Linked DNA regions of Alligator mississippiensis. The protein of the gene in region 4 interacts with the protein of the main gene of each other region in a biochemical or structural test. Links are inferred from orthologs where the notes say so. Each region holds a gene or a part of one and is shown on either strand. Other genes may lie near its edges. The genes, in order: ARHGAP32, ABL2, MAP4K1 and CRK.

What was found.
Region 1: the proteins of CRK (region 4) and ARHGAP32 form a complex in vitro, tested with the Homo sapiens proteins (2 studies listed by BioGRID and IntAct, with this or other methods). The link is inferred for Alligator mississippiensis from reciprocal best matches to the Homo sapiens genes CRK and ARHGAP32.
Region 2: of the proteins of CRK (region 4) and ABL2, one has a biochemical effect on the other in vitro, tested with the Homo sapiens proteins (2 studies listed by BioGRID and IntAct, with this or other methods). The link is inferred for Alligator mississippiensis from reciprocal best matches to the Homo sapiens genes CRK and ABL2.
Region 3: the proteins of CRK (region 4) and MAP4K1 form a complex in vitro, tested with the Homo sapiens proteins (2 studies listed by BioGRID). The link is inferred for Alligator mississippiensis from reciprocal best matches to the Homo sapiens genes CRK and MAP4K1.

The regions. Positions count from the first base shown.
Region 1 is NC_081839.1:24,945,673-24,952,745, reverse strand, and holds the start of ARHGAP32 (rho GTPase-activating protein 32), read left to right. Parts: upstream 1-4,067; 5' UTR 4,068-4,154; intron 4,155-4,295; 5' UTR 4,296-4,337; coding exon 4,338-4,385; intron 4,386-4,405; exon of another isoform or gene 4,406-7,073. UniProt on the Homo sapiens protein: GTPase-activating protein (GAP) promoting GTP hydrolysis on RHOA, CDC42 and RAC1 small GTPases. May be involved in the differentiation of neuronal cells during the formation of neurite extensions.
Region 2 is NC_081828.1:51,224,618-51,232,524, forward strand, and holds the start of ABL2 (tyrosine-protein kinase ABL2), read right to left. Parts: upstream 3,003-7,907; 5' UTR 2,932-3,002; coding exon 2,745-2,931; intron 1-2,744. UniProt on the Homo sapiens protein: Non-receptor tyrosine-protein kinase that plays an ABL1-overlapping role in key processes linked to cell growth and survival such as cytoskeleton remodeling in response to extracellular stimuli, cell motility and adhesion and receptor endocytosis.
Region 3 is NC_081838.1:1,988,792-1,996,023, reverse strand, and holds the start of MAP4K1 (mitogen-activated protein kinase kinase kinase kinase 1), read left to right. Parts: upstream 1-4,228; 5' UTR 4,229-4,886; intron 4,887-5,313; 5' UTR 5,314-5,633; coding exon 5,634-5,741; intron 5,742-7,232. Other genes in the region: EIF3K (eukaryotic translation initiation factor 3 subunit K), read right to left, coding at 1,455-1,486, 1,675-1,800, 2,158-2,235, 2,851-2,917, 3,122-3,196, 3,388-3,508, 3,608-3,706, 3,824-3,882. UniProt on the Homo sapiens protein: Serine/threonine-protein kinase, which plays a role in the response to environmental stress. Appears to act upstream of the JUN N-terminal pathway.
Region 4 is NC_081837.1:284,082-292,060, forward strand, and holds the start of CRK (adapter molecule crk), read right to left. Parts: upstream 3,005-7,979; 5' UTR 2,944-3,004; coding exon 2,700-2,943; intron 1,718-2,699; exon of another isoform or gene 663-1,717; coding exon of another isoform or gene 587-662; intron 1-586. UniProt on the Homo sapiens protein: Involved in cell branching and adhesion mediated by BCAR1-CRK-RAPGEF1 signaling and activation of RAP1.

The DNA.
Region 1 (7,073 bases), on a different chromosome or scaffold from region 4:
ACTGACATGCATTTTCCCCTGTGCAGAGACTACCAGGTTTAAATTTGGTATCATAAATTGGCAATACCTTAGGCTTTTCTGTATGCCTCTAGTGGTTCCGTTACTTTTTGGAAAAGTGCAGCATATTTATTGGCCAGCTGACTCTTAGAGCAACTATAGACAATAAATACTACTACTAATAATAATACTAAATTGTAACCAGTAGAAAACAGAGGCAAGCTGAACAATTCTAATGGAGTTTACTTGACTTTCCATTGTAGTAGTCTTGTGAATGTGGTGTTATCTTCACGACAGCCAAAGAAACAAGTGGAGAGATGGGGAAACCGAAACAGTTAACATTGGGCTTTATTTTCGATGGCTTACATATAAAACAGAGAAATCAGGTTTTACTGATGAGAGTGAAGGAGGGAAGAAAATGAAGGTAGAAATCCACGCAATCTTGTGTCAAAACTAGTCATAAAAGTGATTGGTAAAGCATATGGAAACTTTAGAAAAACAACATGGAGGTCATATCTAAAGTAACAAACTCACAGATAAAAAGAAAAGCCCTAGGGCTGGGTCAGGCAAAATGCAGCCTGAGGACCAGATTGGGCCCTCAGCAGACTCCATTTCCCAGCAGCCCCTGCCTGCGCCACTCCAGCCAGTCTCCATGAAGACCCCAGGAGTGGTGGGGCTGTGACAGTTCAGGGCCAGGGTCTCCATGGAGACTGGCCCGAGCCACACTGGCTGGGTGCACGGCTGGGCAGGGGGCTGCTCCGGGGCTAGGGCTGGGATCTTGCAGCAGAGACAGTGTGGGCCAAGGTCAGGGCAGAGCTGTGATCTGTTGCCTGCATGCTCTGGGTCAGGCTCACACTGCCCACATACTCTGGCTCGAGCCCATGCTGTCACCAATACAAAATCCTGGCCCCTGCCCCAGAGCAGCTCCCTGCCCAGCTGCACGCCCTGCAAGCGTGGCTTGAGACGGTCTCCATGGAGACCCTGGTCCTGCACTGTCATGGCCCTGCTGCTCCTCAGGTCTTCATGGAGACTGGCTAGAGTGACGCAGGCAGGGGATGGTGGGAAATGGAGTCTGGCCACCGGCCAGATCTGCCATTTTGCACACCCCTGCCCTAGGGTCTTAAACTTCAGAAGGGGCCTAGGAGACCTTAATTTAGACTTCCCTACATGGTGGAAAACAAGCCTTTAACAGGTTACAGTTATTACAGCTTTTACCAGGGGTAATGAAGAATCTTATACCCATAAAAATCCAAGAGGAACTGTAGGTAAATGGAAAGTATTTGGTCTGGAAACCAGGATACTTTCTCATATGAAAAAAGCCCCTAGCATCTTTGCTGTAACCATTAAAGACCAGACCTTAGGTGTTATGTCTTGCAATATGTAGTATTTTCAGTGAAACGTTGCTCTTGAGCACCATGGTGGGGCCAGGATGTGGTACACACTGAAAGGGAAAAGTGCCCTCCGTTGAATCAACACAAGTACATCTTGCAGTACTCCAGGGGTGCTGACAGATATACAGATCCCTGCTGTAAGTCATGGTGCTTCACAGGAAGCGCTATGAGTTACAGTGATCCCCCCACAACCCAACAGACATTCACTGTTGAGTCAAAGGGGTTAGGGGATTGGGGATCAAGCTCCAGTTTGGAGTGGCTGTATGTCTGCAGCTTCTCTCTTATAGCCCCATGCCCTTCCTCCCAGCTCCAGTGCTATCTTCAGGATGGGAATGGGGAGAAGTGAGGGGAGGAAGCTTTGTGGGGTTTGCCCAACGTGCTATGGAGGGTGGGGTGGGTGGATTTGAGGTGGGAGGGTGCTCCAATCCATCTGCCCCACCCTCCAGCACAGGCTGGGCAAGCCCTAAACTGATTTCTCCTCCCCTCCTTCCTGAAGACATCACTGCGGGCAGGGATCTGGTGCATCGGCCCTGCCCTGCTCCTGGCAGGGACTAAAAGAAGTTAGTGAAGGTGCTCTGCTTTGTAGTGCCTTCATCTGAATGCTTGTGTAATGAGGGTTCAGGTTATCATGCAGTTGTCATGTTTGACAGCATCACAAGAGAAAGCTGCAAAGCCACAGGCCATAGCCTAATGTCCCTCAAACAAATCACACACCGCTCTGCAATTTTGCCATCTTAAATGATGCATCCCACTTTAGCCAGTATTTCTTTGAACCCACTGCCTGCCCTCACTGCCACTTCAGGACATACTTATATACATCTTCATAGCATACTTTCTCTTGTTTCATGTGCAGCCAAATATATGTCAACATTGTTAAGTATCCTTCATCAGCATGAGTTGGCACGGAGAGACTAGAAGCAGTTCACACCTCTCAGAGCTATTGTATCAGGCTCTCTGCATGCTTGCAGTCATCACTACAACGGTGACTCTAACATTGTGTTTTGAAGGTTTTCTTTGTGACCGTAACAGCTAGACACATATTTGCTTCCCCCCTCCTCTTGAATGAAAGCTCAGCCTGCAAAACAATTTAGGGACCAATATGCATGTCCTCAGTCAGCTCTTTGTATTCTTCCAACACTCTGGCATAGTTTCTACCAATAATATTATCAGATAGCTGATATCACCAGGCTAGTCATATATATTTTAACAGCCCCACTGCCAATTGGCACAGGCAAAAGAAAACAAAAAGACAAAACAAAAACCTGAGAAGAAGCCAAGATAGGAATATTCCCAGGGCTGCATTTAATACTAACTGTCCCTCCCTGCTTCTCATAAAACTGTTTTTAAAGCACACCCTTCCCTGACCTTTTAAAAAGCAGTTTTGCAATCCCTATGTGTCTCTACCCACCTCCCACCTGTGCTGGAAGGCAAAGTAAACACTACAGCACCTGTGCAGACTGCCCAGTGCAAGGCACTTACTTGCCATACACCTCTGTGCCCGTACTAGAGGCTGGAGCGCTCTCAACGACAGACCTGCAGTACTAATTCTTTGGTAGCAAATACGCGCCAATAGCCACATTTTTAAAGCTATGTGGACAGTTAAAGGGACCGATAAGCAGCTATAGTATTGAACTGGCACTGAAACCCATAGGTGTTCGGTGCCTTTGTGCATCAGAAAAAGTCTCTAGATATGGAGTTGCCCACTTAGGTGTCTGTTTCAGAGCCTAGTCCCAAGTGCTTACAGGGCAGCACACACTAAAGAGGCTTGACGTGTCCTGCCTAGTGTCCTGTGTTGAGGGACCTGAGGAAGAAGCTCTTCCATGGGAAAGCGCGTCTGACGTCCCGACTGCCCAGCTGGTCCCAGAAAAGCCGTCGCGCTAGGAAATTGCTGCCTCTTGTATCACGTCTGGAGCATCAGGGCTGCCGCACGGCTCCGACACTCCCCGCTGACACGCAGCTCAGGTGCTTCGAGTGGGCCGAGCGCTGCGGTGCGAACGGGAGCGATAGGATGCCCGTTTGTCCAGTTTTATAGAGGACAGCCCGCTTTCCTGCTACTCCGATTGAGCCAAACCGGACGCCTTTATGTCAGACTGGTGGAAGTCTGCGGAGGAAAGTAGAGGACATAAAGGCGCCCGGTTTCATGTCAATTGGACAGAGTAGCAGAAAACCGGCTGTCCTGTGTGAAATGGGATGAATGGCCACCCTAGGCAGCAATGGGCCGGGGGCGCCTGGCGAAACACCCAGTGGCGCTTTCCGGGGTGCCCCTTGCGTAGGGGCGAGGTGGGCGGCAGGCGAGGAGGAGGCCTCTCTCACACGACTACAACTCTGGCCGGAGAACAGCATGAAGGACGCGTGCCCTGGGGAGCACGGTGACCACCCGCAGGTGGTGGCAGCACTTCTTTGGGGGGTGCCCCACCAATCTCAGGGGCCCCCCCCATTATGCCTTTTAGGAAACCCTGCGTGGGCAGGCGCTGCAAGGAGGTGGCACCTCCTCCCTTGCAGGTGGCCGAGGCCCCGCCCCCGGCCGCGCGGGGTGCCCCGCCCACACGGCGACTCGCGCCGCCGCGGGGCACGAAGCCCCGCCCCCTCGCATAGGCCCCGCCCCCCGCGGCCGGGGATGGGGATGAGGAGGGGCGGGGCCTGGCAGTGCGCATGCGCGCGGGTGAGGCGCGGGCGGTGAGTGCGGTGCGGGCGGGCGGGCGCAGCGAGGCGAGGCGGGGGCCGCCGCCGCCCGGCCTTCCCCTGCCCCAGCCCCAGCGCAGCCGGGTCAGTCGGCAGCCCGGGCCGCGTGGAGGACGGAGGGGGGGAGCCGGTGTCCCAGGGGCGTTTTGCTGCTTCCTTTTCCCTCCTCCCTCCCCTCCTCCCGCCGCTCGCTTCTAACCAGGTTTCTTTCTCCTCCCCTCGCAGCGCGGGGGTCGCGGGTCGTGGGCGGCGGATGGCGAGCCCGTGATGTGGCCTTGCCCGGAGCCGACGTCTGTGGGTCCGTGCGGCTGGTGGGTGAGTGCACGTTGACGGCGCGCCCCGTGTCTTTATCCCACGCTCGCTGCTTGCCCACCTGCCTGGCATTTTGGCGCGGGGGGCGCTTATAACGGCCCCCGCGCGTCCACGAGAGGGGCGTCCGGACCGCGCTACGTTTCGCGACCGTCGAGAGACGTCGGGGCTGGGTGCGGAGGCGCCCGCGTGCGTGACATCTGCCCGCCGCCGCTCGAGCAGAAAGGGACCCGGGGGTCGATGCCATTCGTGCCTCGTCCCCCCGGCACCTCGAACGCGGGCGTCGCGGTCTGTGTCTGTCGCCAGCTTGGTTTACGAGCGATCGAATTAGACCGTCCTCCCCCCTTCTGCCTTGTCTGGTACCCTCATTTGTTGCGTACAACTACACGTATGTGTGTGCCGGTAACTGTAGAAATCAAGCGTGGAGATGGTGGGTATACGGAAAATTAATTTAGACATTTCTCTCTGAACGGGTGCAATAAAACAGCACTTTGGACAGAGACTCGCGAGGCCTGAGCTGTGACTAGAAGCCCGGTGTCCTGTAATGACTGATCCTGCTTATCCTGGGACTTTCCTCTAGTGTGACGATGAGGGAGAAGGCTAATAGATGACTCTTTTTTGTGTCATATAGTTGTCTCGTTTAATGGGAGAGGTGTCGTACTGAGCAGTATTTTCCGGTACGATCAGAACATTTCTCTCTCCGTGATACAGGACTCTGCGCTCGTGATTCAAAGACTGTTATAGCAACCTCTGTTCAGCGCGTTTGAAATGCTGGGATCATAGTAATGTAGCTGAGGAGTAAACATGGGATAAATGCATCCATTTCCACAGAACAGGGACAGACCTCCTAACACGCGTACTTGGTAACATACAATTTGTTTCCTTCCCCGCAGATGTCTTTTCATTCCTGTTTTGCAAAATTGCGTTAGCCTTGGGTGAACAATTTATTTTGACTGGCATGTAAAATATTATACTTGCATACATTCATTGTGATAAAGAGCAAGCAAGTATATTTTGTTCCTGGGCTGGTAAATTTTCATGATGATTATCCAAGGACTCTTTGTGCTACACAGTACCACAAACTTACCCTGGTATATTTGACAGTTTTATAATGTTTGAACATATTGTAGCCATCTGGAAGAATCAAACTTATATTCCGTGGAGGATATGACACGATTGGGAAGATAAAAGGAGAAAAATGGGGTCAGAGTCTAGCAGCATGCAGCTGTAAGACCTATTATTTGGGACAATTACAGAATTAAAAGCATTAACGTGGTGAAAGTAGGTGTATTTATAACGTACTGGAATATCTTTACATTGCCAGAAGCAAACTGGTTTTACTGAATTAACTCGCAGTTCAGTATTGCATTGTGCCATCTTTATCTGAAAAGTGTCCATCCAAAATAAAGTTGCTGGTGGAGTTTCTGAATTAACAAGTGAGGCTTGAGCCTGATCAGCCTAGCTGGCAGTAGGGATTGATGATTATTAACCTTAAGTGTTTATGTAGGTTGTTAACAAGACGTTGCAGTCTAAATGTGTTGCTTCAATATGGATCTGTCACTGTCTTCTTTTAAATTTTAGTTTTGAGCCTTCCTGTGACAGAAATAAGGTTATTTCGCTGAATACCAGGAAAAAGAAAACTTCCTAGCTTAGTCTTAAACTATGGAACAGATTTCCAAGGAAGTTGTCTTTTTGCTTGGGGCACTTAACATTTAGACTGGGGATGGTACCAGCTAATGTAAAATAGGGAGCAGTCTTGCCTTGGCTGTTTTCCCTGGAGCTTGTCATTTTCAAACTTACCTTCTGAAGAGTAAATATTTTGCCATTTGCTTGCACCAGATCGCATAAACTTCAAAACGTTCTGTGTGGGAAGATCCCTGCAACCCCCATTTCAAATGCATAAGTTGAACTAGATGGTATTCTGTCAGTCTATTCAAAGTATGTTATTTTCCCCAGGATCCATCTTATAAATATTTCCTTGGCCACGGTTATAGGCGAGAGTTTGTTTGAAGGGAAATTCTGAATAAATTCCCAGGCCTTATCCACCATATTCTCTTTTGCAAACAAGTGCACTCCGGTTCTATCATAAAACGGGGAGGATTGCTTTCACTGGAGCTTCCTGTTATAATATTGGCAGAATATCTCAGTAACAGTCCCTTTCCATCTCTCATATCTGTAAGGGCTGTTGCCTTACATTTATTGGTTATGATGATACAACATCTGCTGATGTGCTGCTGAGGAAGGGAGAGAGATGGAATGGTGAAAAGTCTAAGGAGACATAGTTAACTTGAAAGGATTCTAGAAATTTGAATGGAGCAATTGCTCTCATGGGACTACAACGATATTGCAGGGGGTCAGGCTAGATGATCTATTCAGGTCCCTCCCGACCCTAGCTACTATGAATATGTGGCTTCAGCCAGGTGTAAGATGGGTTTGATTCCTTGCACAGCAGTTGTAGTGTTCCTGATTCCTAGTCTGCTGCTGCTCCTGCTGTTTCAGCTACAGGCCCTCTACCATGCTGAGGCAGCAAAGTTGTGTTAGGTTATGCCATCTTGTTTGTGGGGTAGTTTTATGATGGGCATGAGAACGGGGAAGGGGACTAGGAAGAGACCCATAAAAGTTTCCTCACTTATCCTAAGCAAAACTTGCACTCGGAATTGAATATCTGATGGGGGTAATCAGCTGTGCCACCAG
Region 2 (7,907 bases), on a different chromosome or scaffold from region 4:
AGTGTTCTTATCCCTTCTATCATTTATCCACAGCAAATAATGCTGACTATACTGCCCCTCTAACAGAAGAAGGAACTGAACACGGATATAACAAGGTACAAAGCTAGTCACAAAGAGAAGGAAGGAAACCAAATTAAGTGGAATGCAATAAGCAGCCAGAACCGTTTGGGGACAAGGAAAATAAGGATCATGCATTGAAGGAAGTTCAGCAGATGAAGTGTGCCTCCTGAAGATGATCAGGGAGCCAAAGTACTGTAAAGGGAAGAAAGACTAAGGACAGGAGCAAGAGAAAGCAACAAATGCAAGTGGAAGAGAGATAAAAGTAGGGAAACCCCTCTGAAAAAGGAAATGAGTTCCTGATTATCTAACTGTGCCCAGGCTACACAAAGGGCTTAGGTTGCTGCCTGCAATGACTTGTTTTAATATAAGTATTCAACTCTGACTAGAGTGCAGTATGGTAAGTTCTCTCTAGTGGCTTTGGTTGTGGTCTCCAAGGCACTAATTAGTTCTGGTAAAATGTAACTGGGTGCAGAAACTCATACTAGCAGGACTAAAGTATTGATTGAAGCAGCATTGGGATTCAGAGCTTGCACCTGAATGTCATGCAAGTTTAGTTGTTTAAAAAAAAAACAGACAAAAAAACAAAAACAAAACCAGCCACCTGGCTTTTTAGGGAACCCAACAAATAGGATGATGCATATTCACCTTGAAAATTCCAATGAATATATCCCTCTGAACTGTTCACAAACAAAGTAAAGCAAACACCAAGAGCTTGAAAGTAAAACTGTCTCCAGGCATTTTCACTGTACAAGCTGAAAGGCAGAAGCAAGCAATATACTGTACATAGCAAAACAATTCTGTAACGTTTAATAACCTACATCATTAATACCACAGGGAAATACTCTTACTGCTGGGCAAATGACCAGTTCTGCTCTGAACCTGGACTCATTCCATGCGCCCTCTGTCCTCAGCTATATAGAGAGATATGTACAAAGACCTAAGAGAGCAGGAGCTGCTTCTTGCTGAGGAACTGTGGGGGGCCAATTCTGTGGCTCTGCCAAGCAACAGCTGAAGGACCCCTCTCTGTGCCTCAGTTCCCTAGAACTTGGCTAATAATCCTCCCTTTCTTCAATCCTTTGCCTACTTTGCCTGTTGAGAGACCAAGCAAGGAAAGGATTTAGCACAATGAAGTCCTACTCTTGGCTACTCTTGCAGCATAGAGACATACACAAAAGAGTAAGTTGAAAGAGCAATGAAAACCTAACCCCAGCTTAACTGCATCACATTTAACCTACATAAGGTTCCAAAAACAGTACTATACTTCCTCTGAACACCCTTCCCATTTCCTGCCCTAGTTCAAACTTGTAGACATTAAGAAGTTACCAGCAGTCTTTTTGACAATCATTTTCCTATTTTAATTAGTATCTCTGTCCCCTGTGGTGCTGTCTGAAAGACTTAGGAAGCCAAGAGTAATTGGCTGACTATACAAGAGAGAGGACAAAACTGAGTATATGAATATCATCAGAACAGCTCCTTAACAGTTACAGCTCTTATAATTAACTTGCAATTATAGCAGGTAAGACATTTAGAAGTGCAAATTTTAAGTCAGAACCATGTCTTAAGTCAACAGGCAGCATATCAACAGATATTTAGACTCACACAAATACACACTTTCTATTTAGGAAATAAATTTAGTGTTAGAAGCTGCCTGTGTCATTTTGTAAATACCCACAAATCCCTGCACCTGCACTGATTTCCTATGGCTGTCCATTATCAGCAGCAACAGTGGATGATATTTACATTAAAGAACCGGCAAGCTGTTTAAGATCTTAATACTCATTGCTTGTTCTGTTGGATTTTGGAAAAATCTATGCTCTCAGAAGCATTTTGCAGCATGAATATGGGAGCATTATCTTCCTCACCTGCAACAAAATCAATTAATGTTCTCAGAAATGGATTCAGGTCTTTAGCATCACAAAGTGCACCAATATAAGACTTCTACTCTTGATAACCTGCCAGGGTTCAGTGCATACCAGCACAGTGTAAGTATGCCACACAAAGAAAAGAAAAAGGAAAAAGTGTACAGGAAAGATGTGGGATTAAAGATTGTCGCATCTATTGTTTAGGCTTTTTTTCTAAGCTGACTTTCTCCTGCGGAAGCTCCCTACTTTCCACCGACTTTCTCCCTTCACAGGCAGCACCACAGAGGGTTGTTGACAATGAGAAGGAAAAGACAAGCACATTGGGACAAGCAAAGCTGGACTTCAAACACATGAGAGTCGGTTGACAGAGGACCGAGTTATTAAAGCCAGGCCAAGAAGCGTGAGCTGCCCCTAGGCCACTGCCTGCCAGGAGCCACCCTCCTCACTGAGCAAGTGAAACACCATCCCACAAGCAGGATGACAGTGCTGTACCCCCAGACAGAGGAGGGGCAGCCCCGCTCAGTGACAGTCCCGGCTCTCCAGCACCCTCAACACCTGCTCGGCCCCAAGGGACATGGGAACATGGGGGAGAAGCTGCCAAACTTGTCACAGCCACGGTGGGACATAATGTGGGCGGGCGCGGGTAAGGCAGCGGCCCAAGGGAAAGCCGCCTTCTATCACGTCCCTCCAGGGCCGGGAAGCCCACGCGGGAGCCCAGCCCCCTCCCAGCAGCGCCCGCCCCGCGCCCCCTCCCACCGCGGGAGGGGCCCAGCGCCCCCCGCCCCCGCGCCGGCTCCTAGGAAGACCCCGGCCGGCCCGTACCGTGCTGGGTGAAGATGTTGAAGCCGCCCTCCGCGGCGCGCCCGGCCGCCTCCCGCCGGCGCCCAGCGGGCCTGGCCGCGCTGCTCCCCCGCAGGCCCCGCGGCGGCGGCGGCTGCTGCTGCTGCTGAGGCGGCGGCTGCTGGAGAGCGGCGCCCGGCTCCCCGACGCGGCCCACCTGCTGCCCCATCGCGCCCCGATCACATGCCGCCTCCGCGGCCCGGCCCGGCCCGGCCCGGCCCGGCCCGGCCCGGCCCGGCCCGGCGGGCGGCCTCGGCACCCCCGGCCCGGCGGCTCCCTACAGGGCTGGCCCCAGCCCCGCCCCGCCGCGCTCCGGCCTGGGAGTCACGGGCTCGCCCCCTCAACCCCCGCCGCCATCTTAACCACAGAGCTGCGGGAGAGGGGGCAGAGTGGCTCCCGCAGCCACCTCCGGTCCTCCGAGGGGGTCGGCCCCGCCCCGCCCCGCGTGTCCCCTCCTCCCCCTCCAGTCCCCAGGGCCTCGTAGAGCGGTTCGCTGCAGACCTGCGGAGCAGGATCCTCGGGGAACGAGCTCATCTCCTCAGATGCTGTGCAAGCGCCTGAGGAAGTGACCCGGGCTCACCCGCGCTCCTGCTCTCTCTATCTGATGTCCTGAGTCTGGCCGGTGCAAATCTACCTACCCTGCCTTCTGCCTCACCTCAGGCTGACAGGGCTGAGCACCTCTAGGGTTGCCAACCCCGCAGGATTGCCCCGGAGTCTCCAGGAAATAGATACAGTCTCCAGGAGACTGCTGAGAGGTACCGGAGAGATCAATGATAGGGCATTCATTCAAATAAATTAAACGTTGAGTCCAATTTATACAGTAGTCCAGTGGGTTTTAAAAATGTAATAGTAATGTGCATTTGCCTTCCTGGCGTGAAGTCTATGCATCGTAATCTGTAACTGATATACGCCGGCACGTTTGCGCTGTGTCTCACAAATTTGTTGGCATTCGGGAAACCTGGAATAGATTTAAACAAGTTGGCAACCCCACCTCTCTGTCCCCAGGGCTAGGCTTTTGGAGGTGATGCCATCCCCACCCTTTTTCCAACACAGGATTTTAAGAATATAAGAGCTGCCATTCACTGCCTCAAACCATCGGCCCATCTTGCTGGGTCTCCTGCTTCACACAGGGGCAAAGAGAGGATGCTGAAAGGGGGAGTGAACTGGGTCTGGCCACGGCTTTTCCCAATGTTCCTCACACTTGCAATCTCCAGCATTTAAGGTCTAGGAAGTTCTGATCCAGAGGCTGTATCCCTAAATCCTGTGCTCAATAGCTACTGATACCCCTTTCCTCTAACACTGTGTCCAATGTTTCCTCGGGTGGGGGCAGAGGGGGGGATGTAGCCCTCTACCAGGGACTTCTTGAGCATATAGTAACAGTTCACAGAAGCAGGACATTGGCTGCCCTGGTTCCCCTTGCTTTACGAGGCTGTGGTAGGTTTGGGTGTTAGGTCTGTGTTGTGTCCGGGTTGAGGGCAGTCTTACGTAGAGTTTAAATAAGGGTTTTTATGGGATGGTTAGGATAGGGATGATCCTGCATCAGGCAGGGGGGTGGACTAGAACGGTGTTTCTCAACCCATAGGTCGTGACCCAAAAGTGGGTCGCAAGAATATAGGAAAGGGTCGCAGACAAACTTTAAAAATGGATTCTCCCTTAAAGGAGAAAAACATGGGAAACTGGGGGTATTTCCTTGCAGGTTGGCAGAGTTTCAGCCTGTAAGGGGCTGTTTGAGGCTCCCCTTGCTTCCACACACCCACTCCTACCCCACAGACTGGGGGGGCAGGAGGCAGCAGGTCAGGAGTGAGGGGCACCAGCAGGGCAAGGGGACTGTTTTCTACTCAAACTATTTATTGGGTCAGGATTGGCCATCAATGTTTACAAATGGGCCCTGGTACAAAAAAGGTTGAGAACCACTGGATTAGGTGACCTCTGGAGGTGTCTTCCAGCACTACTTCTCTTATGACTCTAATCTAGGGGTGGGCAAAATGCTGCCTGTGGGCCAGATGCGGCCCACCAGGCCATTCTATCTGGCCCATGGGGCCCCTAAAAATTTTAGAAAATTAATATTTATCTGTCCCCAGCTTCCTGTCATGTGGCCCTTGATGGCTTGCCAAAACTCAGTAAGCGACCCTCCGCGCAAAATAATTGCCCGCCCCTGCTCTAATCCCTTCTTGAATTTGGCTTCCACAACATCTGGTAGGAATGAGTCCCACACTTTTTGTATAGGAATTCATCCCCCTTCCCAGCCCCATTTTAGATAAGCAGGAACAAAAGTATGGTGGGTGTTCAAAGCCAGTCCAAATGGTGAAGGCTAGAAAAAGTTTGCCCCACACTGAGGATTGCAGAGGACTAACCAACCAGTGGCTTCTAAAACTCAGTGAGATTTTCTGCCCCTGCATGGTAACTGACATAATCACCAGTTTGGTAAAAATAGTTTTGTTAACATCAAGGCACATTAAGACAAAAACTTACATAAAAATTGCTATGTATCTGCATCAGAAAATGTTCTGATTAAAAGGATAAAACTCTTAAGTACTTAAAAGCTAAGGGAGTTCACCACTGGGAGAAAGTGCACAGAAGGTGGAGAGTTAGGGAGAGAATTAACACTTTATTAATGAAAGTTAAGAATCATAGCTTTACATGGCTTTGTAGAGACTGAAGAGAATGTAAGACCCTGCACATGGTAGCCACGTGGAGCACAGATGTCATATGTTGATGCAATCTAGAACATGCAGTTAGTCAAGCAGTTTATGTCAACCCAGGGTAAAAGGGGTGAAAATGTTTTAATCCAATGCTATGCAAAGAAAGAACAAAACCCTGTGCATGATAACCACATTGGTACAGAGTTGCAAGGTGGCAACACATTCTTAGATAATGGTTTAGCATGCAGTGAACAATTGCTAGGATGGAATAGTACAAGGCATAAAAAATGTTTGCTGGTTGATGGCATGTGTGGGATGTCTGTGTCATAAACAAACTTCCTCTGCCCCCACGTTTTGCTGCTCTCTCTTCATTTTTCACTTGGCTAAAATCTAGAGAATAGGTAATTCAGGGGCATATATTTCATCAGGGTTCAGAAGGGATCTGTATCCCCTCAAGGCTACAGGACCTGAACCTGTTCAGCCTTCACAAGAGAAGGCTGAGGGGGGACCTTGTGACCGTCTATAAACTCACTAGGGGGGACCAGAAGGGTTTGGGGGAGACCTTGTTTCCCCTAGCACCGCCCAGGATAACAAGGAATAACGGCCACAAGTTGTTGGAGAGTAGGTTTAGATTAGACATCTGTAAGAACTACTTCACAGTTAGGGCGGCTAGGATCTGGAACCAACTTCCAAGGGAAGTGGTGCTGGCTCCTATCCTGGGGGTCTTTAAGAAGCGGCTCAATGCCTACCTGGCTGGGGTCATTTGAGCCCAGTTTTCCTCCTGCCCAGGCAGGGGGTCGGACTTGAAGATCTACAAGGTCCCTTCCGACCCTACTTCTAGGAAGGCTTGTGCTCGTACCATTGGCTGCCCTGTACATGTGTCATAAATTAAACCAGTCCTCTGTTCACTGCATTAGCTCCTCACTAAATATCAACTCAAATTCAAGTTCTCTTCTTTAAAGTGTGGGACCGATATACATAAAGGTCCAGGATGCAAGTGGAAGACACACTCCTTTGACTCACTAAAATGCACGTCACAAGAAAGCACTGTAAAAAACACACTTTTAATGGAAATAGGGAAGGTAGAAGAGAAAACTGTGTAGGGCAGATGCTAATTGCATTATTTCACATCTAAAAGTCTGTGGCAGGGCACTGTTGGTGCCTGCCACTTTAAGTGCTGAGACAAGCAGCCAGCAGGTGCTTGATTGCAGCAGCCATTTTAGATCTCTGGCCACCTATATAAACAGAGCTGTTCACTACTGGTAAGTTAGGTAGAAATATTGGCTGGCTATAAGGCTGTATGTAATATCTTGGAGGTAAGGGCAGGAGCTTAAGGGGTTGGTTTTGAGGCTCCTGGTCCTGGGCATGACCTAAAAGCTGTACCCTGCTGGGGATGGGTAGCCTGCTGGGGCTCCTAGTGGTGTTGGAGTCCCCTGGAAATACCAGGCCAATTACCACCCTGGTGAAAGGTGGGGTGGGGTGCCTTAACTCCTGGCCCCTACAACACTGTGGCTAAAAGGAGGCCAGGCACAGCTATGGCCCTGTGATCCCAAGTAGAATGCAAGACCTAGATAAGGCCTGGCATAGCTATGGCCACCTGAGATAGGGAACTCATGGGAACTGAGAACTGCATGCCAAGGCCAGTATGTCTGACAGCATAGTTCAGAGCCTTGGTTCTACTGTAGTAAGAATTCAAAACCCACTATTCTGTAATATGGACATAGCTGATGCCCAAATTGTAGAACTTGAGTTTTATTAGCTCTCCAGTACCATCGCACAATTCTCTGGGGCTGAATTTTCTGGCCTCCTACATGCTCATTTCCCACTTGCCTTCTGTGCATTGGAAGCTACTAGCCACTTTTGGTATAGCCGGTCAGAATTTAATCCTTCAGTCCCTGCAGTTCCATATCTGCAACCCCCAGATAAGTTAAATAGTGCAACTTGTTGCTGTCCTAGCTGACCAAAGGAGCCCACCAATGCTCTGGTTATCTATAATGGATACAGCAGTGAATGTGTTTTCAGGAAATAAGCTCCAAATTGGCACCAGTATAACATCATATTCAAGAGGCTGATGGAAGAGAGAATCAAATGGATGGCTAGTAGCGCTATGCAAGCCTTCGGTAGCCAATTTGATTCAGAGGAGATTCAGCCAGAACTGACAGCCAAATCTCCAAATCCAAATCAAATCAGAACACCCATTTAAAGGTCTGAATCGAATTGGAAGTCTCCAAACTGATTTGGAGTGTTTTGGAGATTTGAAAGGCTTGCAGCAAACAAACTAACAAGAGGGAGGGGGATAGGGTGATCTTCCATACATGGAAAAGACTAGGGCGGGGGGAGGGAAAGACTGCTCTGACATTGACATCTGTAGCTGGCCAGTGACTGTGATGTTTCTCTGAGTTCCCTTACAATCAGTGCTCTTGGAGAGGGATGTAGAAACAACATATAAAGCTGTGTCTGAAGTTACCTGTGCCTCTTGTGAGCCGTCTCTGTCTTGGAGCGA
Region 3 (7,232 bases), on a different chromosome or scaffold from region 4:
TGCCTGCGAGATGCTGAACATTCCTGCGATGTATATATTTAGCCACTGGCTGGAAGCCACTGTTTATAATGAGGGGGCTCCCAGGATGCAACAAAAGGGTGTGAGGCACTTCTAATCCCCACCCCACCTGCACCAGAGGTGGTAAAATGGAAAGGCAAGGTCTGCCCAAAGTGCTGGCCTGAATGACAGCAGCTCAGTAAGGAGTTGGGGTGCAGGAGACGGGGTTGAGGGGCCGCACACTGCTCTGGGTTCAGAAGCCCCAACCTAGAGCAAACATCCCCAAAAAAGGGAGGCAAGCAGCAGGCAGCTCAGCACCACAGGGTTTTCCCCCAGTTTTCTACCATGCAGAACCACATAGAGACCCTCAGGGTCTCCCAGGTAGCTCAAGGGCCAGTGGGATGGAGGCCAGCTCTGCCACAGCCTGCTGAGGGCACTGAAAGAGCCAGAGACATGCATGGCAGCTGCAACTCAGCACAGAGAGAACCCGATGCCGCAAAGCAAAGATGTGGCGGCTCCCAGGCAAAGAGCAACAGTGTAGGCCTCTTCCCCTCTCCCCAGCACAGGGCACAGAGCTGCTCTCGTGGGGCCTTGAGGAAGAATACCCTGCCTGCAAAAGGATCACCTAACCACCCCACAAAGTTGGTCTGATGAGAGATCCCCCACAAATATCCATGCCTGGTACACAATTCCTGGCCAGCAGCAAGATCCAGGTCCATGCAGGAGCGGTGCTGTGAATCCCAGGGTGCCCATTTCTGACTCAGCCATGGAACCCAGAAGCCCTGCTTTCCCTTAAGGCCTTTGAATAGCAATTCTCAGGCAGAGACTCCCTCCAGGGTCCCCGTACTGGGCAGCTGCTGCCCCAAAGAGGCCTCAGGGGGCAACCCCCAGAGCAGCACCATGACCACAGGCCGGCTGCGGTGGCTCAGGCCCTCCCCACAAGGGGAAGCATGATCAGGTCAGCAACAGGCTGGTTCTTATTTATTGGCCACCTACCACCACCTGGCGGTCAGAAGAGTAATGACAGCAGGACCAGCTGCCAGGAGTCCTACTTAGGCTTATTAGTGTGGGGCTGGTTACCTCACCCCAGGAGTCCCGGGTTCTTTCCCTAGCTGGGCAAAGTGTTCGTGCTCCGCGGCAGAAAGAGGAGGTCATTATTCCTCCAATTCGTGGCTGGGGGTGGGAGGGTGGACCCTCAATCCAGCCAGCAACTGTCCAGAGGAGAGAGTCTGTCTTGGGCAACATGCCAGTTCCAGCCCAACAGCACTCCCACCCCCCAGGAGCCTTACCCAGAGCTGGGGCTCCCCCATCCTCCCACCCCTGAGAGGAAACAAGAAAAGATCTCTCCAAACATTTATTGGCCAGGGCTGGATTAAAATTTAAAAAGGAATTAAATAAGAAATAGACCCAGAGCAGGTTCTCACAAGCAGCACAGATGGTAGTGGGCAACAGGGGCATCACAAGGAAGATGCCATGATGCTGGAGACACCTGAAAGAAGGGAGGACAAACAAATTAAACTCCAGAACAGTGACTCCATGTGCTCCAGTCCACAAGAATTCAGCCCAGGGAAGATGCCCATGGGCCAAGGCAGGACCTTGACCTCTGTGGACAACTCACTCCAGCCAGATCCACACCCCTGTCCCCATCCTCAGTACCAGTGGGGCCTCGGCGCTTACTGTCAAAGTCTATTTTCTCTACAATGTTCTTGGGTTTGACGCTCTCCTCCTGGTTGCAGATGAAGACCTTGCCAGGCTCAGTTTCTGTCCAGCCATATTTGCTCATCCAGACCTTGAGCTGGCTGTCTGTAGAGAAGCCAAGGGAATGAGCCAATGGTAGTTTGGCACAGGGAAGGCGAGGTACGAAGGCACATGTGTTTAAGCAGGGGGTGCCAAGACAGAGTAGATCTTCAAGGGAAGTGATAAAGCACCAAGTCTGCCCTAAGACTGCCAGTGGAGAGCAAGTAGGGTGACTAAGCTCAGCAGCGCATGCAATAAGGGCCCCAGGACCCCTGTAGCTGGGACAGCATTCCCAAAACCCAACCCAAACAGCCTGGAGTCACACCAGTAGCAGTACAGCTCACAGACTCCCTTGATCCACTTTGGATGTAGGGCGAGGGGCTCATTTCTGAGAGGGGTCTGGCTTCCCTTTGGGGAACTTACCTGAGAGGTCTCCCAGCATCTCCGCCAGCAACCACCGATCAACGTGCTGGTAGGTGATCCCCACCACGTGGCAGATGACTGTGGAAGGAACACGGACACTTGGTGCTACTGGCACATGTTCAGGCGTGCCCCAATCCCCCGATGCACAACAAGCTGTTGAACCCCTCTGCTGTGCCCTGCTGCCCCCACACGTGCTCCGGGGCTCAGCGGCTGCTGGCTCAAGGGAGGACAACACATTTCCAGGTCTCTATCGCCGTCCGGATGTGCCAGACACGAAGAGGATCCTTGCTGCAGGGAATTCACACTACTTGGCACAGGGGCAACGCGTAGGAGGTGCACCCCCCGCCCCCCTCCCGGTCAGGCTGCACTCCCCGTTTAGCCAGCGGGCAGGCAAGAGCACCAGTGCCTCCCCTACAAGTGCTGCCTGGGGAGCAGGACTGTCAGTAGCATGGCTGCTTTTATGATGAGAGTCAGGTCGCTTGTGAGGCACCCCCTGGTCGCTGACTGGTGTTGGGGGAAGGAGGAGCACGTGCTCCCGCTGACTCGAGACAGACACCCACAACTTGGCAGAGCACCGAGGGCAGCAAGGGACACAGCAGGAGCCTGTCACAGCCGGAGACGGGACCTGGACCTGAGTCTGAGTCTGCCCAAAGGGGATCGTGCAACAGAGCAGAGGGGACAGCAGCCACTCACATTTCCTAACAGAGTCCTCAAAGCCAGTGATCCCGTCCAGCAGCTCCATGTTCTCATCCAGGGCTTGCTGCAAAACAAAGGAAGAACCGTGCATTCGCGTCGGTTAGCAAACACCGAGACAGAGACGGACGCTTCCTGACCCGAGGCCACGAGCTCACAACGCAGCGGCTACAGGGGTGCCGCCAAGGAGGCACGGGGGCAGGGAGGGCGCACGCTCACGCTGCGGAGGCTCCCCGGGCTCAGGGCACCAGAAGGGCAGGACAACGCTCACCCAAAAGGCCTGGAAGTGGCAGGTCTCCAGCAGCTCCCCCAGGTAGAGGATCTGCCTGATCGGCCTCTCTTCTTGCTGCGACGAGCGGGTCAAGGGGGAAAACAGCAAACGCAGACCCCCGAGTTCACCCCCGGGCGGAGGAAGAAGCCGCAAGGCTCGAGGGAGGCCAAGTGTCACGCCCACAGCAGCAGGGAGACCCCTCCGAGCCCTCCCACGGCCAGCGGGCAGCCACACGCTGCTTCTGACCCGGGGAAATAAAAGGATACGTGAGCCTGGTCGATCATGCACTTGCAGAGGGTGAAGTCCGTGTGCGGGAGGTTGGTCAGCGCCTTGAGCAGGATCTGAGCGGTGACGGTGGTCTGGAAGAATGCTGGATTGAACTGGTACCTGAGGAGGAGGGTGCACGTGTTAGTATGGGGGGGGGATTCGCGTGGTGCCCCCCCGCCGCCCCCAAAAGCAGGGTGTGGCAGGGGAGACGACGCTCACAGCTTGAGCACGGCCAGGTTGGCCTCCAGGTCGTAGGCGTTCTCCTTGGCCTGCGTCTCCACGTAGCGCTCCAGCGTGGCCAGGTTCTCCGGGTTGTACCTGGGGCACAAGGCGGCAGCGGCTGAGCACGACTCCCCCCGCCCCGCCCCGCCCGCCGGCCCAGCCAGGCAGCTCTACCCCCACCCGCCCCGCCCCGCGCCGCCGCCGCCGCCTCACCGGTCGATGCCCTTGAGCAGCTTGCCCACGTTGGCCCGCATCTGCTCGAACAGCGCCATGGCGCGCGCGGCGGCAGCGGCTTCCGGGGCCGCGAGCGGGAGCAAAGCGGTGCCGGGCTCTTCCGGCCGCGGCAGCTTCCGCTTCCGGCGTCGGGCCTCGCCGGGCATGCTGGGGCGGGGAGGGCCGGCGTGACACGCGTGCGCACTAGGAGGGGCCGGGGAGGGAGGAAAGCCCCGCCCGCAGTGAAATACCCCGCTAGGCCCCGCCCCCTGGGCGGGCAGGCCACGCCCACGCTCCCCCGCCCGCTGCCGTCGCTAGGCAACACCCACCCTTAGCAACCAGACCCTCCCTCCCCTCCTAAGTGCTCCCGCCCACCCCAGATGCCCCTCCCCTCAAAAACTGCCCCCCTCCCCCAAGCGCCCCCCTTCCTCAGCCTGCCCCCCCACACCCCCAAGTGCCTCCTCCCCCCTCTCATGCCCCCCTCCCCCCAACCGCCCCCCTCCCTCAGCCTGCCCCCCCACACCCCCAAGTGCCTCCTCCCCCCTCTCATGCCCCCCTCCCCCCAACCGCCCCCCTCCCTCAGCCTGCCCCCCCACACCCCCAAGTGCCTCCTCCCCCCTCTCATGCCCCCCTCCCCCCAACCGCCCCCCTCCCTCAGCCTGCCCCCCCACACCCCCAAGTGCCCCCTCCCACCTCTCATGCCCCCCTCCCCCCAACCGCCCCCCTCCCTCAGCCTGCCCCCCCACACCCCCAAGTGCCTCCTCCCCCCTCTCATGCCCCCCTCCCCCCAACCGCCCCCCTCCCTCAGCCCCCCCCACACCACCAAGTGCCCCCTCCCACCTCTCATGCCCCCCTCCCCCCAACCGCCCCCCTCCCTCAGCCTGCCCCCCCACACCCCCTCAAGTGCCCCCTCCCACCCCAGATGCCCCTCCCCTCAAAAACTGACCCCAGTTGCCCCCTCCCCTCAGGGTGGCAGCCCCCCCTGGTGCCCCCTCCCCTCCAGGACTGATCCCCTCCACTCCCCCCCCCACCCCAGCAACAGCAGCAGAGAGCAGCGCTCCAGGTACGTTTTCATTGGCTCCTGCGAGGGATCCGGTGGTCCCAGCAGGGCGGGGCTCCCCTCCCATCTCGGGCGGGCCGTGGGGCTGGGGGTCCGGCAAAAAGGGAGCAGGGGTGGGGGGGGCTAGGAGTCAGAGCTCAGCCCTGCCGAGCTGCCGCTCGAAGCCCCCCCTCTTTGTGCCTCAGTTTGCCCCTTCCGCCGACTGGGCGCAACGATCCCAGGATCAATTAATAAATAAACGCTGGACTCAATTAATAAACGCCCCTCCCTCCCTGCCACTGCCTTGCTGCCGGTGTGGCTGGGTGGCGGGCGCCGGGTCCCTGCCCCCCCCCACGCCGACAGGGCTGGGGGGGGCCGCTCGGCCGTGACATCCTGCCCCCGAGCGGGGACAGAGCAGGTGATGGCAGGGCGTCTCCTTGTTTCCCCGCAGGCGCCGCGAGGTGTCACAGCCGCGCCGGGCGCCACACGCGTGCTGCTCGCGCACACGGACGGGCACGAGGGCCAACGCCAGCCGCTCCCGCACCTGGGGCCGTCGGGGAGGCCCTGCGGAGCGGCCTCCCGGGGCCACGGCGCTGCAGGGCTCCCACGTGCTGTCTAGGGGGCCCCCTGGGCTCGCCGCTGCGCCCGGCTGCTCAAATCAGGAAATAAAAGCGAGCGAGCGAGCAAGCGTTATCAGCCCCTCCGATCACACACACGCGCACTCCTGGGTGCAGGGCGCCGCAGGCTGCACGCACGGGCGGGCGCCCAGACATGGATGCCCAGGACCGAGCCGCACTGGATATTTCCACCAGGAACCCCCAGGACGACTTCGAGCTGCTGCAGAGAGTTGGCGGCGGGACGTACGGGGAAGTGTACAAGGTAGGCCCGAGGATGCGTCCCGCTCCCTTGCCTGCATGCGGTGCCGAGCGTCGCATGGGTGGGGGACGAGTCTCCACTACCCTGCCGAGACCCCAGGGTTTTGGGGTGCTGGGGGAACACGTCACCCTTCGTGCCCACGTGGGGCGAGGGCAAGCGGTGCAGGGAGCTCCGGGAGCCACGGCGGCGAAAGCAGATGCAGGAGGGGAAAGGGCCGAGCGGGGCCAAGACCTGCACCTGCCCGGGACAGTGCTGGGGATGAAGGCGTCAGCAGGGCTGGCACCCCCTGCACCCCTGCCTGGGGCAGCCAGGCGTGTGGAGGTGCTTGCTGCCGGCTGTGGGTCGTGCTCGGGGCCCAGGGTGCTGCGGGCGTTGGACTCAGCCCCCTTGCACAGCCCTCGTGGTCCCTCGCCTGGGTTTGGAGGGGCAGAAGAGAAGGGCCCAGCTCGGGCCTTGCTGAAGGAAGTGCATTGGCACTGATTCCCTCCGTACCCCCGTGGGCGTAAATCAGCAGAAGCCCCCTGGAAACAGCGTGGGCGCGAGTAGGGCCCGATCCCTCGGCTGGGGTGGACTCTCGGAGTCAAGGGGACGGTGTCCCCAGGGCCCCGGCGGGTGGGAACGGATGTCCCTGTCACCTCCCCCCCCCCCGTGCACAGTCATCTTCACCGGAGGGAGTGGGTGTGAAATGCCACGAGCTCCCCACGCACCACAGCTCACACCCACTCGGCTCCCAGCCTGCCCCGCTGGAAACCGTGTCAAGGCAGCTGGGGGGCAGGGGTCAGGCTTCCCTGGGCCCAGCGCGGCTGGAGTCAGGCCGCTTGGCCCACAGCGTCGGGGACCCGCAGTGCCCCTCAAACATGGCGGCTTGGAGGGAGCAACATGGCAGCGGGCTGTGCGGGGCTCCTTTGCCCACTGCTGAGATGCGCCCAGCTCTGGGGTGGAGCAGGGAAGCTGTTCATTCAGCTGGTCTAGAAAGACAGCCACCTCTGGGCTGGGGCAGGGCAGCTGGGGCAGGGCAGCTGGTTGCACAGGGACCCCGAAATGCAGCTGGGTGCCTCTGCGGGGGAGATGCACAAGATCTGGGAAGGGAGGCAGCTTCAGAGGAGGGTTGAGAACAGTTTGGGGCGGCAGTGGGACAGGCGGGCACAGGCTGGGCACCGAGGTTTGCAGGCTGACGGGGCAGGGCCGTGGGAGGAGGGAGCCTGGTGCCTGCTGAGAAACCCCGGGGGCCTGCCGGTAGCACCACAGCCCCGGGTGCAGGTGCTCCCGCCTGCCTCCCAGCAGCTCCAGCACAGGGTCCGGTGCCCCAGCTGCCAGCAGAAATGCCCCAGGGGCTGGAGCCGGGGCTGAGCACCGGGACCACGGGTCTTTGCAAGACCGTCAGTGTCACAGGTGACATTGGCCTGTCCCTTGATGCCGGTGCCCCTCACTCCTGACCCCACACCGGTTCTAGCCCCAGCCCCACCACGACCCCCAGGCAGGGCATCCTCCCTC
Region 4 (7,979 bases):
ATTCTTGAGGAGAACAAGATAGTGCAATCTTGCAAACAGGTGGGACAGGAAGTTTACAGCATACGAGACAAAGCAATGCTTCAAGAGAGCATCCTGAAAAGTCAGTGGACAATTGTTACGACTATGCACACCAAAATGCTATTATTTTTTTAGGACATATTGCATCCTCCCATCATTAATAATACTTTGGAAATGAGCAGATGCAGTAATTACTCAATATGACTGAAAAACGAAGCTGCAGCCTAGAAAGACAAGAGAACATTATTTCATAGAGCTGCTTTTCAATTTTCATCAATCATTTCTCTTGCTCTCATGATGAGCTAGAATAAATCCATTCTTTAATAGATTTTGGCTATTCTATTCATTAGTTTTTGTATCTGTATTGTTAAATAGATCTCAAAAAACACGTGACCCCTCAAAGTCCAACTTTTTTTGTTTTAAATATACTTTTAGTATGAAGCATCATAAACAATGTGATACGCAAACATGATCTGCTGATATTAAAGGGAATTTTTCAAACTGGAAAGGCAGCTACAAATAAAGAAATTACTACTATACATTTGGCAACATAAACTCATTTCCTTACCTAGCAGAGATCTACTCATTACCCTGCTGAAAGCGTGTAACAACCCAACACCTCCTGAGCAGATTTGTAAACACATTAGGAAACTAGTTTACAAAAAGAGATGCATCGTGCTATCCACTTCCGGAAGAGTAGGGGGCAGAAGCAGAGTTAGTTTCTGATGCGTGGCCTTTTAAACGCTTAACAAGCTGTACTCCAAGCCCTGGGGCAGTGTGGGTGCCAAGGCCCACAGTTGACAGCCCAGAGACCACAACTTCAAGGCCCGAGCAGAAGTTCTCATCGTGCAACCTGCCAGATCGCAGTGAATCTGAGAGCTCTGCTAAATACCTTGTCACAAAGACACAAAAAGGAAGAAAGGTTCCAAACCTCAAACATGGGAAGACCTACACATAAGTAATCTCACTTTGTTAAATGGAACTGCCCATATGCAAAATAAAAGAAGTTTTAGCCAGTGTTGTGCAATGCACACCACCACAGGATGGTTATTCAAGGTCCTGAACACATTGACTGAACTTCCAAAGCTTGCCTAAGTCACTTAGGAACTCAATAGTGGGACCAGTGCTCTTCAACTGTACCTTTTAAAATCCCACTCTCTACCCCAGTGGTTTTCAACTGGGGTGCTGCAGCACCCTGGGTTGCCTCGAGCTCTTTTCAAGGGTGATGCAGGTTGCCACACATTAACACTCTCAGGTGTACAAACATGATTCACGAGATAAACCCAGAGATTTCACATAAGGATCCACTGCATTAAACCCCTGACTTGCTATGGTCTGAGTTCTTTGCAACAGAAGAACTACTCTACTTATTATTTTTTCTGTAGTCAAGATAAACGAGGGAAAAGCTAGAGCTGGAAAAGTGAGGTCCCAACCAGCCTTACAAAGTATACGAATCACAAATCTGTTACCAAATTACTATAAATCCTACAAATCAAATGTTATGCATGCCACAAAGCAAAAGACAATAGGCTCAACAGACTAAGCAACGTACCCATATCTAACTTAATTTTCCTGAACACAGTCAATACTCTCTTTTCAAAACAACGTATACGCCAGGTCAACTTCAACAGTGTGTTCAGTGTGTTATTGCTGGAAATACAGAATATATCCCCCCCCACCCCACACACACACACACACACACTTTTTTGTAAAAAAATAAATAAATAAATAAAGGCTAGTATCCAGCCTTTGTAATCGCTCCTCCAAAAGGTCCCAATTTTTCTACTCCTTTTTTCAATGCGAACACTAGAACTACGTTGTATGCTATGCTTCTACTGCTGCCACACACCCAGGTAAGACGTCTCCTATTCCATGTTCCTGTTTATACAGACACGGGGATCGTGTTACCAGCCGCACCGGACCGAGCCTGCGCCCAGCGCGTGACCCGGCAGCAAGCCGGCGTTCCCCGCAAACATCGTTACCGTGAGATACCCACAGACGAGGCGTGTTCCTCATGCTGTAGCTAAATATTACTTGGCTATTTTTTTTCAAATCGCATCCAACTTTGCCATACTGCATCTCAAAGCGCCCCTTAAAGAAATCATAAAACTCATCACGGTCACGGCCCCGATCTGAAAAAAGAACGCAATACAACTCTTTTCCAGGAAGGTCCAATTCAATTTCTCTTCAAATATCAACTTTGGAAGGACATTTGAATTAACTTTTGAATTTTCCTGTTCAATTTCCCTTTAGATAAACACCAGATTTTAAACTCCGTAAATGCTGCTGTTCCTTCCCGGGCCCCGGGGGGACGGCTGGGGCCTGGATCGGGTGGCAATGTCGGAGCTCGGGTCGCCTCAGGCCACCTACCTCAAGCGAGGGCCTCGGCGCCACCCGCCCCGGCCCGGCCCGGCCCGGCCCGGCCCCCAGGCGCAGCAGGAAGACTGGCCCCGTGTCTCCTGGTTTAGGCCGCCCGCACCCGCCCGAGGCCAGGTAGCGCCGCAGGCTGGCCGCGCCGCGCCAGGAGGCGGCAGGGTCGGGGCCGCGCTCCGCTCCGCTCCGCTCCGCTCGGGGCAGGGCAGGGCAGGGCAGGGCAGGGCGGGGCGGGGCGGGGGAGCGCGGCCGGGGCCGGGCGACGCGGCCTGAGCGCAGCCCGCGACCCCCCCGCAGCCCGCACTCACCGGGGGCGCCGGGGCCCTCTCCGCCCGCGCGCCGCCCGCCCGCCGGCCCCAGGCTGTTGACGATGTAGTGCGAGACGCGCGAGCTCTCGGACACCGACAGCACGAAGTCGCCGGGGATGGTGCCCGAGTCGCGCACCAGGAAGGTGCCGTGGCGCTGCCCCTGCAGCAGCGACACCGCCTCGGCCCGGCTCAGCCGCCCCCAGTACCAGCTCGCCCGGTCCTCGCAGTCGAACTGCCCGGCCATAGGCCCTGCGCCGCGGCCCGGCCCTCCGCGCGCCCGCCCGCCACCCAAAATGGCGGCGCCTCTGCTGACCTCACCTTCCGGAAGTGACGTGTCGCGCGCCAGCGCTCAACGTCATCTCTGTGCGCGGTGGCTCCAAGGGGCGGGGGCATGGCCCGGTTCGGCCACGTGGTCCGCGGTCCAGGCGGGAAGGTCTTTTTCAGTCCCCCTTCTTTACAGAAAGAAAGAAATGAAAACCAGCCCGTTGCTGTTCAGTGAGAACTGGAAGAAATCCCTGCGGCTCAATGCTAGTGGGCAGCTGGGGATGCTTTCTGTACAAGAGTCCCGTGCTGACTGACGGCGCGCTTATTTTGAAGAACTTGAAACTGTGCCGAGATGTGTCTAGTAGCGAGGGATGCATGACAGCACGTGCCACAATAAACACAGTGATCCTGCCGATCTATCCCTCTCTCCTCCTCCTTCCGCAACAAGGGGAATCGCTTTAGGTAGTCAAATATGATCTTTGCAGCTCAGTGTATTTTAATAGCTGCACTTCATACACACCGAACTGGTTTGGACTCATGCATCCGCGTAGCGTGGTCAAAACCAAACCAAACCAAACCCCTCCCGGTGCTGCCCTCCTGGGCCGCACCCCGCCCACTGCAACCGGGCCACCAGAGCAGAGCACGAAAGCCGGCTCCGCGCCGCCCTCCTGTGGCACAAACGCGCCCCTGCAGCCGGGAACAAAAGCCAGGGAACTAAAACCCTGCTCGGTGCTGCCCTCGCGTGACGCGCGCCGGGCACTGCAGCCAGGGGCGAGGGCGGAGAGACAGCGCGCCGGGCTGTGCGTCTCGCTGCGCTGCGCTGCGCTGCGCGGTGCGGCCGGGGCAGGGGCGGAGAGAGAAGAGGAAAAAGGCCGCGCTCGCTCGGGGCGTCACCGGAGCAGTGCCCGCGGGCGGGGCCGGCGCGGCTCGCGCTGCTCGGGGCGGACGCACGATTCTCGGGCATGGATCCCGGCCGGGGAGCGCGGCAGGGCCGGATCCGAGCCTCGTGCTCCCGTTGGGCGCTGTCTTTGTCAGCAGAGCTGCGAGTCACTCGGAAAGGCGCACGGGAGAGCTCAGCTTCGCTCTGATTGGCTTCTACCAGAGGAGGCGGGCCCTGAGGGCTCGCCCGCCCCTTGCTTTCATTCTGATTGGCTGTCGGGAAATGTTGGGCGACTGCGATCCCCAGCGCCCCAGCCCGGCGCGTTCGCCGCCCGCTGAGCCGGAGCCCACGTCCCGCTGCCGGGCCGGGCCGGGCCGGGCCCCCGCGGGCGGGCCCGCAGCGCTGCGGCAGCTGCTCTGGCGCCCAGGGCGGGTCGTGCGGGACCCTGCGACCCCGGGCGCGGGCAGCCAGGCTCTCACAGACCAACGCCAGAAGGGCGGTGACCGACGGGGTGCACGTGGGCCCCGCGGACACCGTTCGCTTCTGCGCTGACGCCGAGACCTCCCTGGAGAGCACCCTGCAAAGCACCAAATTACCCCTTCTTAACGGGAAAATAAAATGGAAACCTCGGTTCACTTCTAGGGAGAGTTTGGGCCCTTTGGTGTAGAGCAGTCCAATACTGAGAGCAGGGGTGCAGTGACGGCGTTGGTCATTGCGGCGCTTACTTTGAAGAACTTACATTGTGCAGAGAGGAGTGCAGTACGGGGGTGTACCGGCATGGACATAGCGTGTGTGTAACACAGTGATCCTATTCCTACCGCTCTCTGTCTCTCTCAGTGGCGATAGTGATGTAGGTGTTCCTCTCTCACCCTTGCACACCACCGCACACGAGTGTCTGTAGTGAGTGCGGGTATCACAGGTGTCTCGCGCATCCGCACTTGGTGTGAAGACAAACCCGGCTCAGTGCTGCCCCCCGGTGGTGCGCTCCGAGCACTGCAGCCACAAGGAGCGGAGCAGCAGAGGGTTGACGAACCCGCTGCTCGGTGCTGCCCTCCTGTGGTCCCGTCGGCGCATTGGCGCAGTCCGTGAAGGCGGAGGAAAAGCCGGGCTCAGAGCCGCCCTCCTGTGGCCGCGCGGGGCATTGCGGCGGGGAGACCCGGGCGGGCACCTGGCAGAGGTGAATGCGGTGATTGGCTACGAGGGTTGTGTGGGCGGGACTAGGACGGCTCCGTTCCTATTTCGCTCTGATTGGTTTGTGCGGAGAGAAAAGGCGGGGAGAGGAACGCGCCCTCCTGGGCCACATTCTGATTGGCTATTGTGCTGTATTGACAGTGTGCATAGCTCTGCCTGCCGATTGGTCCAACTCCGATCCCCCGCGGCGCCCTTCAGCTGACCGGCGGGCGCGGAGAAGGCAGTGCCGGGCTGGCAAGGGAGGGGCGGGGACGCCCCATGGCCCGGAGGCCGCGCGTGTCCCGCTCCCGGCCCGATGCTGCCTCTTTTCTAAGGTACAGGACAGCCCGTGGCTGTTTGGAAAACACTGCAGGCCTCGCTTCAGCCCAGCTCTAGCGCGGCCTTGGGACCGCGGTGTGACATGTGGGGAGCAGGGCACTGAAGCGCCAGTGCTCGGCGCTGTGCACTCGACGACCTTGCACCTAGACAGAGCAGTGTGTGCCAGCGACGTGTGTCCCGAGATCTGCACTCCGCGTGTGCGCAGGACGCGCCGCAGCGAACAGCGTGAGCCGAGCGCCGCGCCCCGTCTCCGCGCTGAGGGGAGGGAACCGCTTAGCTCTCCTAATGCCACGGCGCCTGCGCCTCGCCACGTGTTTAGACGGGCAGGGGCAGGGGCCGGGTCCGTCAGTCCCGTGTCCCGCATCCCTCCCTGCAGTGTTCAACCAACCCCGCCGTGCTGCCGTCCTGCGCCGCGCCGCGCCGCGCCCCGCCCCGCCCCGCCCCGCGCGCGGCAGCGGGGCAGCAGGGCGGGAAGCGGCTCGGTGCCTTCGGCGCATGTTTCGCACGGCGCTTGGCGGCCGGGGGTCGGGGCACGGCACCCCGGCCCGGAGCGCCGCCCTGGGCCCGGCAGCCAGCGAACAGCCGGAGAAACCAGAGCGCGCTCAGTGCTGCCGCCCCGTGGCGCGCACCGCGCGCTGCAGCCGGGAGACACGGGCGGGGACCGAGAGTGAAGCGGCTCCGGCCGCGCCCCTGCAGCTCGGGCAGGCGGGAGATCCCGGCGGGGAGGGAAGAAGCAAGAAGGCGTCGCTCGCTGGCTGGCTCGGGGGCAGGGCCCGCGGCCGGGGCAGGCGGCGTCGCGCTGCTCGGGGAGGACACACGGCCCGTGGGGAGCGCGGCAGGGCCGGGATCGCAGCCTCGCGTTTCCATTGGCTACAGCGAGGCGTGAGGCGATTGGGTGGAGCGGCCGCATGGGAGGGGTCAGAGCCGCTCCGCCCTTCTTTGCTCTGATTGGCCTCTGCCGGAGGAGGCGGGCCCAGGTGGTCTCCCGCCTTCTCCGCGGTCTATTTGGAGTTTGGGATTGGTGAGAGTGTCACTGTCCGTGTGCCCATTGGTCCGACTCCGATCCCCGCGGGCCCGTTCCGCCGGCGCGGCCGGGGGAGGGGAGGCGAATCGCTGCTAACAAGACGTGCGCTGATTTTCTCTATTTTAAAGAGAAAACGACGCGGAAGCCCGCCGTCGGGGGTCAGCCGTGCGAGACTTCCCGCCGGCTCTGGCGCCCGGCTGCGGGCCCGCGGCGCAGAGCACGTGCCGCTCCGAGATGGACGTCCAAGAACTCGGCACTGTCCCGGGTGTGACACACACAAGAAGGGGGGGGGGGCGCGCGTGCGCAATACACACCGTAACAGCCGCAGGGATCCTGCTACTCGTCGTAGCGAGGGGCAGCGGTGTAACGCGTTCCCCACCGTTATGTTCGCTTCTGTGTACACAGCAGTGTCCTCACTTTTGCAGACAACGCGTACGTTGCGCACGCGTGCAGAGTATTCACATACTTTGTTGAGAAAACTTCTCAGCGTTGCCGTCCCTCCTGTCCTTCAAGCTGGCTCCAGGCGGGGAAGCGGAGTGGGGCAAAGCCCCCAACAAGCGCTATCCTACCCTTCAGCCCCCCTCCCCCCAGCACGGGGTGCCCCTCACCCCTGTCCTGGAGCCCCCTATTTCTCCCGGCTGCCCCTCGGCCCTGGCTGAGCCCCCACTTGTACCCAGCAGAGACGCGCGCTGCTCGTCCTGGACTCCTGCACAAAGACCCCGCTCCTGTCAATGCCCCGCAGGCCCAGCCCTCTGCTCCTGGGCACCTGTGGCCAGGACTGCTCTCCCCTCGGAAGAGACCTCAGTCCTGCCCTGCAGCCCTGCACTGCTCCTGCCCCAGGCTCTCCCCTGCCCAGGCCCAGCCCCACAAGAGCGATGCGAGGGCCCCTACTACAGCCCGGTGTTGGGCATTGCTGCTGAGGCTGTAGCCCGCGACCTGAGTGCGGGATGGGCCCCCTCCCCCTCATGCGCACCCCTCAGGACTGCACCGTGGCGGGGGGCACAGGAGGGAGCATCACCTGCTTTGTGCCGTCCACCTAGCCAATGAATTGCTCACTTGTCTGGGCCATGTAGGTGACATCCATCGTGTCGGGGAGTTGGCAGTTTCAGCCATGTCCACGGGCAGCTGGTGAGCCAGACTCGGGGCGCTGGAGGGAACCTGTGAAGCAGAAGTGGGGGTGACTAGCACGGTGACGCATAAGCAGTCAGCGTGAGCCCAAGAGCCATGGTGCATGCCCATCCCGTTGAGTTGTGGCAGACATGGCCCAGCTCCAAGGGCAGACGCTGCAATGCCCGCTCCAATGACGGTTCCACCTGCAACCGGGGAACGTGCTCAGGCTTCTCCTTTGCCCCGGGGAAAAGCAGGCTTGTGACCTCCCGGGCGCAGCGCCCGCTTGCCGGCACGGCAGTGTAGAGCACATGGGTGGTGTCCTTGGTGTGCGGGCACTTGGAGTCGTCGCCCTCCTCGGTTCCTTTTTTCACAAGTGGATTGAGGTTATTAAGGAAATACTTTTCTGGCTTGTGATTTGAAGTGTAGGCTGTGTTGATCTACAGCCATACTGGTAACTTTGTCTGGGCTGTACACCACTTGAGAGACCCGATTT